Linked DNA regions of Ovis aries. The protein of the gene in region 1 purifies or fractionates together with the protein of each later gene. This does not show direct contact. Links are inferred from orthologs where the notes say so. Each region holds a gene or a part of one and is shown in the gene's direction. Other genes may lie near its edges.

What was found.
Region 2: the proteins of CSNK2A2 (region 1) and PIP4K2C purify together in Homo sapiens (affinity purification with mass spectrometry; 3 studies listed by BioGRID and IntAct, with this or other methods). This does not show direct contact. The link is inferred for Ovis aries from reciprocal best matches to the Homo sapiens genes CSNK2A2 and PIP4K2C.
Region 3: the proteins of CSNK2A2 (region 1) and ZC3H4 purify together in Homo sapiens (affinity purification with mass spectrometry; 3 studies listed by BioGRID and IntAct, with this or other methods). This does not show direct contact. The link is inferred for Ovis aries from reciprocal best matches to the Homo sapiens genes CSNK2A2 and ZC3H4.

Annotation. Positions count from the first base shown.
Region 1 is NC_056067.1:25,628,414-25,632,063, reverse strand, and holds part of CSNK2A2 (casein kinase II subunit alpha'), read left to right. Parts: intron 1-2,859; coding exon 2,860-2,961; intron 2,962-3,650.
Region 2 is NC_056056.1:162,070,434-162,074,083, reverse strand, and holds part of PIP4K2C (phosphatidylinositol 5-phosphate 4-kinase type-2 gamma), read left to right. Parts: intron 1-157; coding exon 158-255; intron 256-929; coding exon 930-1,026; intron 1,027-1,396; coding exon 1,397-1,540; intron 1,541-3,650. UniProt on the Homo sapiens protein: Phosphatidylinositol 5-phosphate 4-kinase with low enzymatic activity. May be a GTP sensor, has higher GTP-dependent kinase activity than ATP-dependent kinase activity. PIP4Ks negatively regulate insulin signaling through a catalytic-independent mechanism.
Region 3 is NC_056067.1:53,896,167-53,899,816, reverse strand, and holds part of ZC3H4 (zinc finger CCCH domain-containing protein 4), read left to right. Parts: intron 1-618; coding exon 619-715; intron 716-829; coding exon 830-969; intron 970-1,449; coding exon 1,450-1,557; intron 1,558-3,134; coding exon 3,135-3,246; intron 3,247-3,650. UniProt on the Homo sapiens protein: RNA-binding protein that suppresses transcription of long non-coding RNAs (lncRNAs). LncRNAs are defined as transcripts more than 200 nucleotides that are not translated into protein.

The DNA of each region.
Region 1 (3,650 bases):
GTAGGCTTTAGGATTAGAGCAGCCTTATTTCTGTAAAAATTCATGGTCTATCTTTCTTCAGATGCCAAGGATCCTCCCTTATAAATCCTAACTTTTTCCCTTGAATTCTACTTATAGAATGTAAATCATTGCGGTCATAAATGTCTGGGCATTCATTGGTTTTTCGGCTTCTGGAGGTCTCTCAGGTTCAGAGGAGTAAGCTTGAGGCTAGAGAGAGTTGCCTGAAGCCTGGCTCCTGTAGAGACTTGGTGCCCCTGCTCTGGAGTGAGCCTCCTGCACCGTTCATCACTCCTCTTATAGTCTGTCGGTCTTTTCTCAGTATGTGAGGACTCCAGCTGCAGTGTGGCTCCATTTTGCCACTTTAGATTTGTCCTGCTGTCCCCAGTCTGACAGGTGACAATTGGGCAGTCAAATGTGCTTCACTTGTTCTGTGAGTTACCTTAAGACATAGTGAAAGATACATTCATCTGAACTGGATTATCCAGGAACTGCCTGATACGTTGCTGAATAACAGAACAAGGCAAGGCTCTATATGGGACGTTGTCATAGGAGCAGCTTATATAATGGTTACCTTGTACTTGTTCACTTTTAGAGGGAGAGGGGGCTTTTGGTGAACACAGGCTTCTGGCCATTGTTTTTTTTCTCCCTCTGTTGCCACTCCCACAGATTTGTAACTACTTTCCAGGAGTGGATGACAACTCTAGAATTTGTTGGGGCTTCCCTGGTAATTCAGTGGTTAGGATGCTGAGCTTCCATTGTGGCAAGGGACAGGTTTGATCCCTGGTCAGGGAACTAAGGTCTCATATGCCTCACAGTGTGGCCACAAAAAAACCCAGAATTTTCTTATGTTGAATATACTGTTTGCATTTGATTTTTCTTTTAACTTTTTGACAAAATTTCAGACTACTGAAAAATTGCAAAAATTCCCATGTATCTTTCATGCAGATTTCTTAAATATCCTTTTCTCTCTTTTATTTATATATACACACTTGTTATACATACAGATATGTATGTATGTGCTGATATATATTTCTTTTACTTAAGTGCTTGAAAGAATATCCCTAATTTCCTATATTTCCTAAAAACAAAAGCAATTTCTTACATAACTCAATGCCATGATCAGAAATCAAAAGTTAATATTGATGCATCTACAACCTCTGTTCTCATTTGCCAGTTGTCCTTGTAATGTTCTTTATAGCAAAGGAAAATCGCAGATCATGCGTTACATTCAGTTGTCATATTTTTTTTAATCTGGAGTACTTGTTTAGTCTGTGTGTTTCATGACATAAACATTTTTAAAGCTTGTAGACTACTTATTTTGTAGTATGTCCTTCTCTGGCTGTTTTCTGACCAAGTTTGTACTTGATGTTTGAGTGCCTCACTTTTCCAAAGTATTGAGTTCTGTAATTATGAAAAAGGGAAGTAGTAAAATTCCTAAGTGGAATGGAGAAAGAACCACAGTAGCCAGATCTGTTCTACTGAGAATGCTGACAGTGGAATGGGCGCGATTGTGGCAGCTGGCTTGGAAGAATGCAGCCAGACTCCAGCCTCTCAGTTGAGCGCCCTCCTACAGGTGATGCAGGTGCTCTGTGTTTTACAGTTCCTCTCTGGTTTGTGTTCAAAGCTGTAGCTTGGTGACCAGCAAGAGATGCTGGTTCCTCTGGCTTGTGTGTATCTTGTGTTTCACCCACCCCACTGCCACCGCCACCACGTGGACACGGTCTTTTCCATCTTTTCCATCACGGCTAACCCACGGGGCCGTCTTTGTCTTTGCCTGCGCTGCTGTAACAGTGTCTTGCTGGGGCAGTACTCCTTTTCCTAAGTTACAGTCCTCCCATGGCCACACTTGGGGAATGAAGGCACGGTGGCGAAGATTGAGGCCTGCAGATTTGAATCCTGCCCCTGCTCTTGACTGCTAGCTGTATGATCTTGGGCAAATAGCTCAACTTGGCTGAGTCTTCTACATAGGAATTTTGTGAGAATGAAACATGAAAATAATGGACATAACATCTATTGACTGCTTCCTGTATACTAGTTGCTGTTTAAGTACTTTATAAAGCATAATTGATTGTGATAATGCTTTTTTTTCTAGAGCTGCTTTAATTATTCTTCAGACTCTTTAGCCTATTCATGACAAGAAATAACATGCATAATGCTGACATTTTTGATTAAGGTTTCCGGTTTGCCTATCCAACAGATTGAAAGGTTAGTGGGTAGCAGGGGTTTTCAGTCACTGCTGTGTCAGAGATTGGTCTTTTCCTTTGCTGATCCATCATCTCTTCCTTTAGGAATGGGGTCTGTTGGGAAGTTTTACTGGCTCTGAGCTGATTTCAGAGTCTAGATATTAAGGAAATGGGAGTGGTGACAGGAAACGGGAGCCAGCAGCTGGGAAACAAGTTTGTAACTTGATGTCAGTGAACTGGTCTTCACTCCTAGAAGACAAAATTACATGCGACCCGTTGGAAGAGCAGGTGTCTTAGCAGTTTGTTTCCGTTTTTCCATTTATGAGTGCATGATAGACAGCTGTTAAGAGCTATAACGCTTTCCATTGGGCAGTTAACTAGTAAACATTTTATTTTTAAAGTATGACATAGGCATTCAAAATTTCATGTGTCCTAAATGTAACTACTTAAAAGATTTGACATGTAAGCTGTATGAGTCTGTGAATTATTTCATGTAATCTTAAAAATTCTTATGGGCAGGCTCCTCTTAAACCTCATTTTATTCCCCCATCTCTTCTAGTTTAGACATGCCCTTGTGCAAGATAGTGCAATAGCCATTTGATAGAAACAGTGTTTTAAAGTTTTATTTGTTAACTTCAAAAGGAGTCTTACTTCTCATTACTCTTGTATATTTAAGCCAGTGAAGAAAAAGAAGATAAAACGAGAGGTTAAGATTCTGGAGAACCTTCGTGGTGGAACAAATATCATTAAGCTGATTGACACTGTGAAGGACCCTGTGGTAGGTGCCTAGCTGTTGAAGGGGAGAGGTGGGGGGGTGGTGTGTGTGTGTGTGTATGAGAGACAGAGAACCTGAAAATAATGGGAAACATTGTTATAATATGCTGGGAATGATTGTGTTTGTCTTTACTACTAAAGGATTTGAAAACCAGAAAAAATCATGGTGGCCCAGTGATAAACTACCTACTACCACTTTTATGGAACCTTAAAGTATTTGTAGAAAAAAAATCCCTTTCCCAGTTTTATAGCCTCATTATTTTGATTCAGTCCACAAACGTTTGCTTCAAAGCTCCCTTATGCTCCTGCTTTTCTCCCAACTTAGAAAGCTTATTACTGCCAATTAACATTATTTTACCTCACTTAAGTAAGCCTGACATTTGAAAATCTGGGTTTACAGAAGGAGATAGGAAGTGTGGCCATGTGGACACTTCCTGTGGAGAACTGAACAGATCACAGACCCCTTGAGGTCACTATCTTGCTGTTTCTCATACTGGTCTTTAATTCCGCATCCACCATTAGGGCTCACATGGTATATGCAGATGCAGTTTAAATATTTTTATTAAAATGCTTAATTTTTAGACATTTAAAATATGCTGTGTAATTTTGTTTTCTCTCCTGCTCGGAAATAACCTAACCTTAAGTATTTATGATTAGGCAAGCTTCCCATCCAATTTCTGTTCTTTCACCTCT
Region 2 (3,650 bases), on another chromosome or scaffold:
GAGTCGTCTGTTTGCATCAGATGACCAAAATATTGGAGCTTCAGCTTCAGCAGCAGTCCTTCCAGTGACCCTTTTCTGACTCTTTCCCAGACACAGTATATAAGTAGCTCTCCATACTCCTCCTCACTGCCTTCCCATTCTTATTCTGACTGATCAGATCAATGAGCTCAGCCAGGTGCCTCCCCCGGTGATGCTGCTGCCAGATGACTTTAAGGCTAGCTCCAAGATCAAGGTCAACAATCACCTTTTCCACAGGTATGTGGGAATCCCTGCTCTTCTCTTGTCAGCCTTCCTAGAAAAGAGAAGAAATCATTTTAAGAGTTAAGGTTGAATGAGTTGAAAGTTTTAGATTTAGAAGGCAACTTACAAGTTCTTGTTTTATTGCTTAAACTTCTTCCCAATGCAGAAATTCAGTATTTTTTTTAAAGAAACCACTAAAATAATTTCCAGTGTTCCCTACACACTTGTCTATGTGTACTAGTTTGCCTCTCCTCTAGCTGAAAATTCCACAGCGTAAATACATTTAGTTGTCATTACCATCAGCTTCCGAGAGGTACTCCCCGAAAGAAATATCTCAATCCTATAAGCCCTCCTAGTATCAGAAGGTACCATTCAAAACCTATTGCTGATTTAAGGATGTCTCTGACTTTCTTGAGATTTGGGAAATGCTGCTGTTTGGATGGGCAGTAGATCCTGGCTCTACTTAAGCCACTTACCAGTCATGTGGTTTAAGCAGGTCACTCAGCCACCCTAAGCCAGTCTCCGTTTCTATAAAACGAGAATAGCACACTTATAAAAGACCTCATATGGCTTCTGTGAGAATCAAATAAGATAATATGTGTGAAGGTGTTTTATAAACTGTCAAGCCCGTTATAAATGTAAGATAATATTGTTACTTTGTTTTCTTATCTTGAAAACCCCTGTTGCAGGGAAAATCTGCCCAGTCATTTCAAGTTCAAGGAATATTGTCCCCAAGTCTTCAGGAACCTGCGTGATCGATTTGGTATTGATGACCAGGATTACTTGGTGAGTGTCCATTTTGGGGAAAGGGTAGGCCTTTCTCCCTAACAAGGGGAATCGGGACAGTAATGTTTGGAGAAATGAGGACCTTCACAGGTATTCTTTACCTTTTTGTGGTCATTAATATCTTGTGGTCAGGCATCTTCAAAAATCTGAAGAAAGGTATAAAGCCTGTCCTTGGGGAGAAATGTAGATGCATTAAAAATTTTGCTGCTCATTTCATTCAGTCTATATATGGACACTGGATTTAGAACTTGTTTTCATCCTCTCACGCCAAGGTTTTATCTACTTTCAGATGTGTTCAGTTGACCACTGTCCTATGCATCTATATATAAAGGGGGAGGAAAAGAGCTCCTAGCCCCTTCTGTGTCCCTAGGTATCTCTTACCCGAAGTCCCCCAACTGAAAGTGAAGGCAGTGATGGTCGCTTCCTTATCTCCTATGATCGGACTCTGGTCATCAAAGAAGTATCCAGTGAGGACATTGCTGACATGCATAGCAACCTGTCCAACTACCACCAGGTCAGACCTCTCTCAGCCTCATTCTTCCCGTTCCCTCCCTACTCGTAGCTCAGCTTCAGAGCACCTGGGAGACTTCCTGTCCCTCTTCCTCCCTATAGCCTATAGCACTCAACATCATTTTTTTTGAAAAACAATGCATTTCAAAAAGAGAGGCTTCGCATACCTATTTGTGTTTGATTAAATAAGAGTTTAGACATGTTCCTTCTCATTTGGTGCTTCTAATCTAAAGCCGCTGTGAATTGATAGATACAAAAAGGATACGTGAATAGCAAAGTATAAATTTCAGACTAACTTAGAATTAGACAAAGTGCCAACATCAAATGTACCATCAGGAATAAATGCAGTTTGGGGAGAAAACCACAGTGAGTATAGATTGGGATAGATTGGAGGGAAGAAGCCATGATCATAACCAGCCCTAAGAGAGATTAGGGAAGCTATTCTGTCTGAGCAGATGAATTTGGAATATGAAGTTTCTGGAATATTTTGGGAATAAAAAAGACCTGAATATCTTTCTACTGAAGGAAAATCTCATCCAAATCAATGCTGCTGCTGCTGCTGCTAAGTCACTTCAGTCGTGTCTGACTCTGTGCGACCCCATAGATGGAAACCCACCAGGCTCCCCGTCCCTGGGATTCTCCAGGCAAGAACACTGGAGTGGGTTGCCATTTCCTTCTCCAATGCATGAAAGTAAAAAGTGAAAGTGAAGTCGCTCAGTCATGTCTGACTCTTAGCGACCCCATGGAGTGCAGCCTACCAGGCTCCTCCGCCCATGAGATTTTCCAGGCAAGAGTACTAGCAAAAACAAAAGTGTTTTGGGTTATTCAACAGCTAACCCATGTCTGTTGTTATTAGGTCCTATGTCAGACAGTAAAGAAAGAGGTAAATGAAATGGCCGTGGCCGTTGAGGATCTCTTGTTCTAATGGCAGAGACTGGTAAGTTAGCATTAGTTAAACACACAGCACGATGTGTGCAGGCAGTGGAGATATGTAGGGAATGCTCTGGGTGGGTAGAGGAAGAGCATCCCAGCTCAGCCGGGGCAAGAGGTGCACCTGGTAGGCTCAAGGAGAGTTTTTAGAGGGAGTATCCTAGGAGTTGATTCATGCATGACTGGTAGGGACCAGGCATTGGACATGATGAAAGAGAGCACTCTAGGCAAAGGAAAGCAGCACTTGTAAAGGCACAGAGCCATGAATGAGCTTGATGTTGCGGAACTGCAAGAAATTCAACGTGACCAGGATGAGGTATTGTAGAAGGACAGTTAGGCAGGAGCCAGGTGGTGAGGGCTTTATAAGCCACACAGAGAGTTTGGGTTTTATCCTGAAAGGTTGTTTGCGGGGGAGTGATGTATATATCATTTAGAAATAGCCCTGTGTCAGAATGGATTATAGAGGGGAAGCACTGAGAGTGGAGGTACCAGTGAGGAGGTAAGTGTTACAGTCCAGGTGAGAAATGACGCGGGCCTGGAAGGGTGATGGTAGTGGAGGTGGAAAGGAAGACCTTTGGGAGAACTGCAGGAATTAAGGCAAAGGGGCTCCAAAGTCCTGGGAATTCCTGCCCAGTTGGGAAGCAGGAAAAGAAACAGGTCTTTGGAGGAAGACAGTTCTGATTTAGGCATGTTGAGTTTCTGGTTTCTACAGTTCATTGGGATACAGATGTCCTGTGAGTGGTTAGGGTATGCAATTCGGGAGAAAGAATCAGATCTCTTTCTAATTTTAGATTTCTTTCTAGTCTAGATTTCAGAGTTACAGGTGAGTAGATGGTACTTAGGAGAAGGCAATGGCACCCCACTCCAGTACTCTTGCCTGGAAAATCCCATGGACAGAGGAGCCTGGTAGGCTGCAGTCTGCAGGGTCTCTAAGAGTAGGACACGACTGAGCGACTTCACTTTCACTTTTCACTTTCATGCATTGGAGAAGGAAATGGCAACCCACTCCAGTGTTCTTGCCTGGAGAATCCCAGGGACGGGGGAGCCTGGTGGGCTGCCGTCTGTGGGATCGCACAGAGTCGGACACAACTGAAGCAACAGCAGCAGCAGCAGATGGTACTTAACACCATGAATATAGATAAGATTATGGAAATGTAGAGTGAAATAAGGTTGAGGACAGAACC
Region 3 (3,650 bases), about 28 Mb from region 1:
GGCAGGGGGAGCGTGGCTGGTGGGCATAGGCTCTGTTGGAGGTGGTCCCTGAGGCTGCTGGGAAGAAGGCATCAGATGGCAGGTTTACGAATGTTCCTTTGTTGTTTGAATAGAGAGAACCTTCCTGAGATTCAGAATTGAAAAAGTTCCCAGGGCTGAGCTGTCGAACATCTTCAGCTGCTCCTTTCTCTTGGCGCCTCCGTTCCTCATCCCTGAAGAAAGGGTTCCCCAGGGTGCTTTTGAAGCCTTTGTAGTCGTCTGTTTACTCACCCCCTACACACACACAGGAGAGCTGCCACACTCGTGTTCTGTCCCTGCCTGAAGCCTGGCCACGCTGCTTGTTCCAGCTGCACCGCTGTCCCCTGGGAGCTGGGAGTGACAGGGGCTGGGAGCCCTGAGCGTACAGAGCTCAGGGAAAGGACCAGGACCCAGACACTGCCCAGGCTGGGGCGGGTGAAGAGGGGCGCAGGCAGGAGTCCTGGGCCACTCACTGGCCACCTCTGTCTGGTGGTGTCCCAAGCGTACAAAAAGGCGGAAAGAGGCTGCGTGTATAGTTCAGGACGTGGTTCACTGTTCCCCAAATGACACGCGCCTGCTTTCCTCCTCCTGGGGCTCCAGTATGGGGAGAGTGAGGAGCCGATGGGAGATGAGGACTACGACGACTACTCCAAGGAGCTGAGCCAGTACCGCCGGTCCAAGGACGGCCGAGGGCGAGGTGGGCCGGCGCTCCGAGGGCAAGGCGGCGGGGAGGGCGGGGGCTCCCCTGGCAGCTGCGGGGCTCAGGTCCTGGGCAGAGGCTGCGGATGGACGCCATCTCTCTCTTCTGCAGGGTTAAGTCGAGGCCGAGGCCGGGGTTCCCGAGGTCGAGGGAAAGGGATGGGCCGGGGACGCGGTCGAGGAGGCAGCCGAGGTGGGATGAACAAGGGCGGGATGAACGACGACGAAGACTTCTACGACGACGACATGGGCGTAAGTCGGTCCTCCGTCCCCTCGTGATGCTCTTACTCAAGGCTCCTCCTCGAAAATTTTTTTCTTTAAATGAGTTGTCTTCTGAGGCTGATCCCATCCCCTTGCTCCCATCAGCCGTTCCAGCGGGGAGCCTCTCAGCACTAATCAGCTCTCCTGGGTGATGTTCTTCAGGGGAGACCCTCTGTTTTTAAAGCCACATCTTTGTAGCACCTGCAGTCATCTGCTCTCTGAGTTCTTCAGGAAGGCGCCGCCTCAGAGCGGATGCGTTCCTGCTGGTGTGTGGCATGCGTGTTCTCAGCTCCGAGCAGTGGGGCTCTAAGCCACCCACCTGGGCCCCGGATGGAACTGGCTGGTCGGTGCCCTGTCAGCCCTGCCAGTCAGCCCCTCTCACCCTCACGGTCCACTCCACCTGGCCTGCACAGACCCTCCCCGCCCTTCCTTTTAATTCTCCTTTCCGTTCCCACTCTGTGTTCCCAACAGGATGGTGGCGGGAGCTACCGGAGGAGTGACCACGACAAGCCCCACCAGCAGTCCGACAAGAAAGGCAAAGTCATCTGCAAATACTTCGTGGAGGGGCGGTGCACATGGGTAAGGGCAGTCCCGGGGCCAGGGTGCCTGGAGCCGGGACACACGGGCCTCGCGGTCTCCTTTCTTTCTGGAGGCCACACTCTCTGGGGCAGTGTTTGGGTGGGCTTGGAGTGGTTGAAAAATGCATCAGGGGCCTGGAAATGATTGAAGAGCCAGGACGAGATTGGTGACATACCTGTGTTATTTTGGTTGGGGGGATTTTTTAGCCAAAATTTTCACCCAATCCACGGAGCCTCAGATGTTCTGTTGGACCTGTCGCTAATGCAAAGGTGTGACGTAGCCTGGTCGAGTTAGTGAACTTTAATGTTGGAGAGGGAGTCATCAAGGCCGAAGAGGTGGGAGTGGGAAGGGATCAGGCCCGCCTCGACCTTCACAGCAGAGTGTTATGCCAAGAGACATGCCAGTGAGCTCAGGGTCCTGAAGGAAACAAGTACAATCCAGTGTTAGTTCAGCCACAGATTCAGATTCAGTCAGTGGGCAGATATTGGCCAACATGTTCCCAGGGAATACTGTACCTATGTATCTGTGTCAGGGAAAAATGTTACTATGTTTCAAGCAAAGGTTGGCACATCACCCGTGCATACATAGTTTTCCTTGTTCAGAGTTACAATTCATGCCATTTTAGAAACTTGAAATACATACAAACAAAAATAAATAGCTATTAGGAAGAGAAAGAGGGCCCAGGTATTCAAGTTTCTTTCTTCTGTTCACCTGGATATTGTTGTTTGGATTGTACAGTTTGCAAATAGCCGAAAGCTCAGTTCCACTGGCTGAAACCCATAGACGTTTGTCTCTCAGAACAGAGTGTGGGAATTCCCGGGCTGTCCAATCCTAACAGGACTCGGTGCTTCCACTGCAGCAGGCACGGGTTCGATGCCTGGTTGGGGAACTGAGATCCTGTGTGCCATGTCAAATGACCAAAAAATAAAAAGATCAGAGTCTGGGAGTGGGCACTACAGGGCAGGTACAGTGATGAATAACACCATGGGAGACCCAGGTTCCTTCCTAGTTCTTCTGCTGGCATCTTCAAGCATGTGGCTTTCGTCCTCATGGTTGCTTAGTGGTTGCTGTGCCGTCACATCTAGGGCTGAGAGGAAGAAAACTGGGAAGGAATTGTTGGGGAAAAAAATGCCTTGGCAGCATTGTCTTCCCTGGGACTTTATGTACATCTCATTGGGCAGAACTGCATAGGAAGCTGGGAAATAGAGTAATTTTAACCCCAGCTTGGGGTTCTGTTAGGAAGAAGGAAGAGTGAAACTGAACACTGGCTGTTATGCAGAAAGCAGTACGTGGGTAAGAGGGGGGGAGGCAGGAGGAGGGGTTAGAAGCAGTGGAGGCAGCAGAGTGGCGGGGGTGGGGTAGCTGAGGACAAGGGGGAGGGGGCACGGGCAGGAGAAAGGGGCACAGGCTTTGGCAGAAGTTTCAGGCTGGTGGGAAACTGCATTATGGGTCAGAATAAATGCCAGGGGCTGTGTGGAGGGGACTGTTCATTTTTGTCATCGGTCCCTCTGTGCTTCCCCAGTGACAGAGTAGTACTTCCTTGGTGAACAGCTTACCTTTGACTGGTTCTCTTCCAGGGAGACCACTGTAATTTTAGCCACGACATCGAGCTACCAAAGAAGCGAGAACTGTGCAAGTTTTACATCACTGGGTTTTGTGCCCGAGCCGAGAACTGCCCCTACATGCATGATATCCTTTGGTGCCCGCCTTCGAGCGCATGGAGGGTGTAGACCTTTTCTCCTTACTGGTGTTAACAGCTGGCCTTCACCGCACTCCATTTGTGCACCGAGGAGGTGCCGAGAGCCCTCTGCCCGTCTCCATCTCTTTCAGCCGTCACCTTTGCCCTGCGACAGGTCTGCTCTTGCCATTCTGCAGATGAGTAAACTGAGGCACGCATGTTATGTGTTCCCCATACATACACAGTTGACCCCTGAGCGGCGTGGGTTTGAACTCTGCAGGTCCACTCATGTGGGTTGTTTTTGGTAGTAAATACCACAGTACTGCAGGATCTGCAGTTGGTTGTATCTTAAGACACAAAAATCTGAGTATAATTTATATATAATCTATCCTCCGTATTCTTGGTACAGATGGAA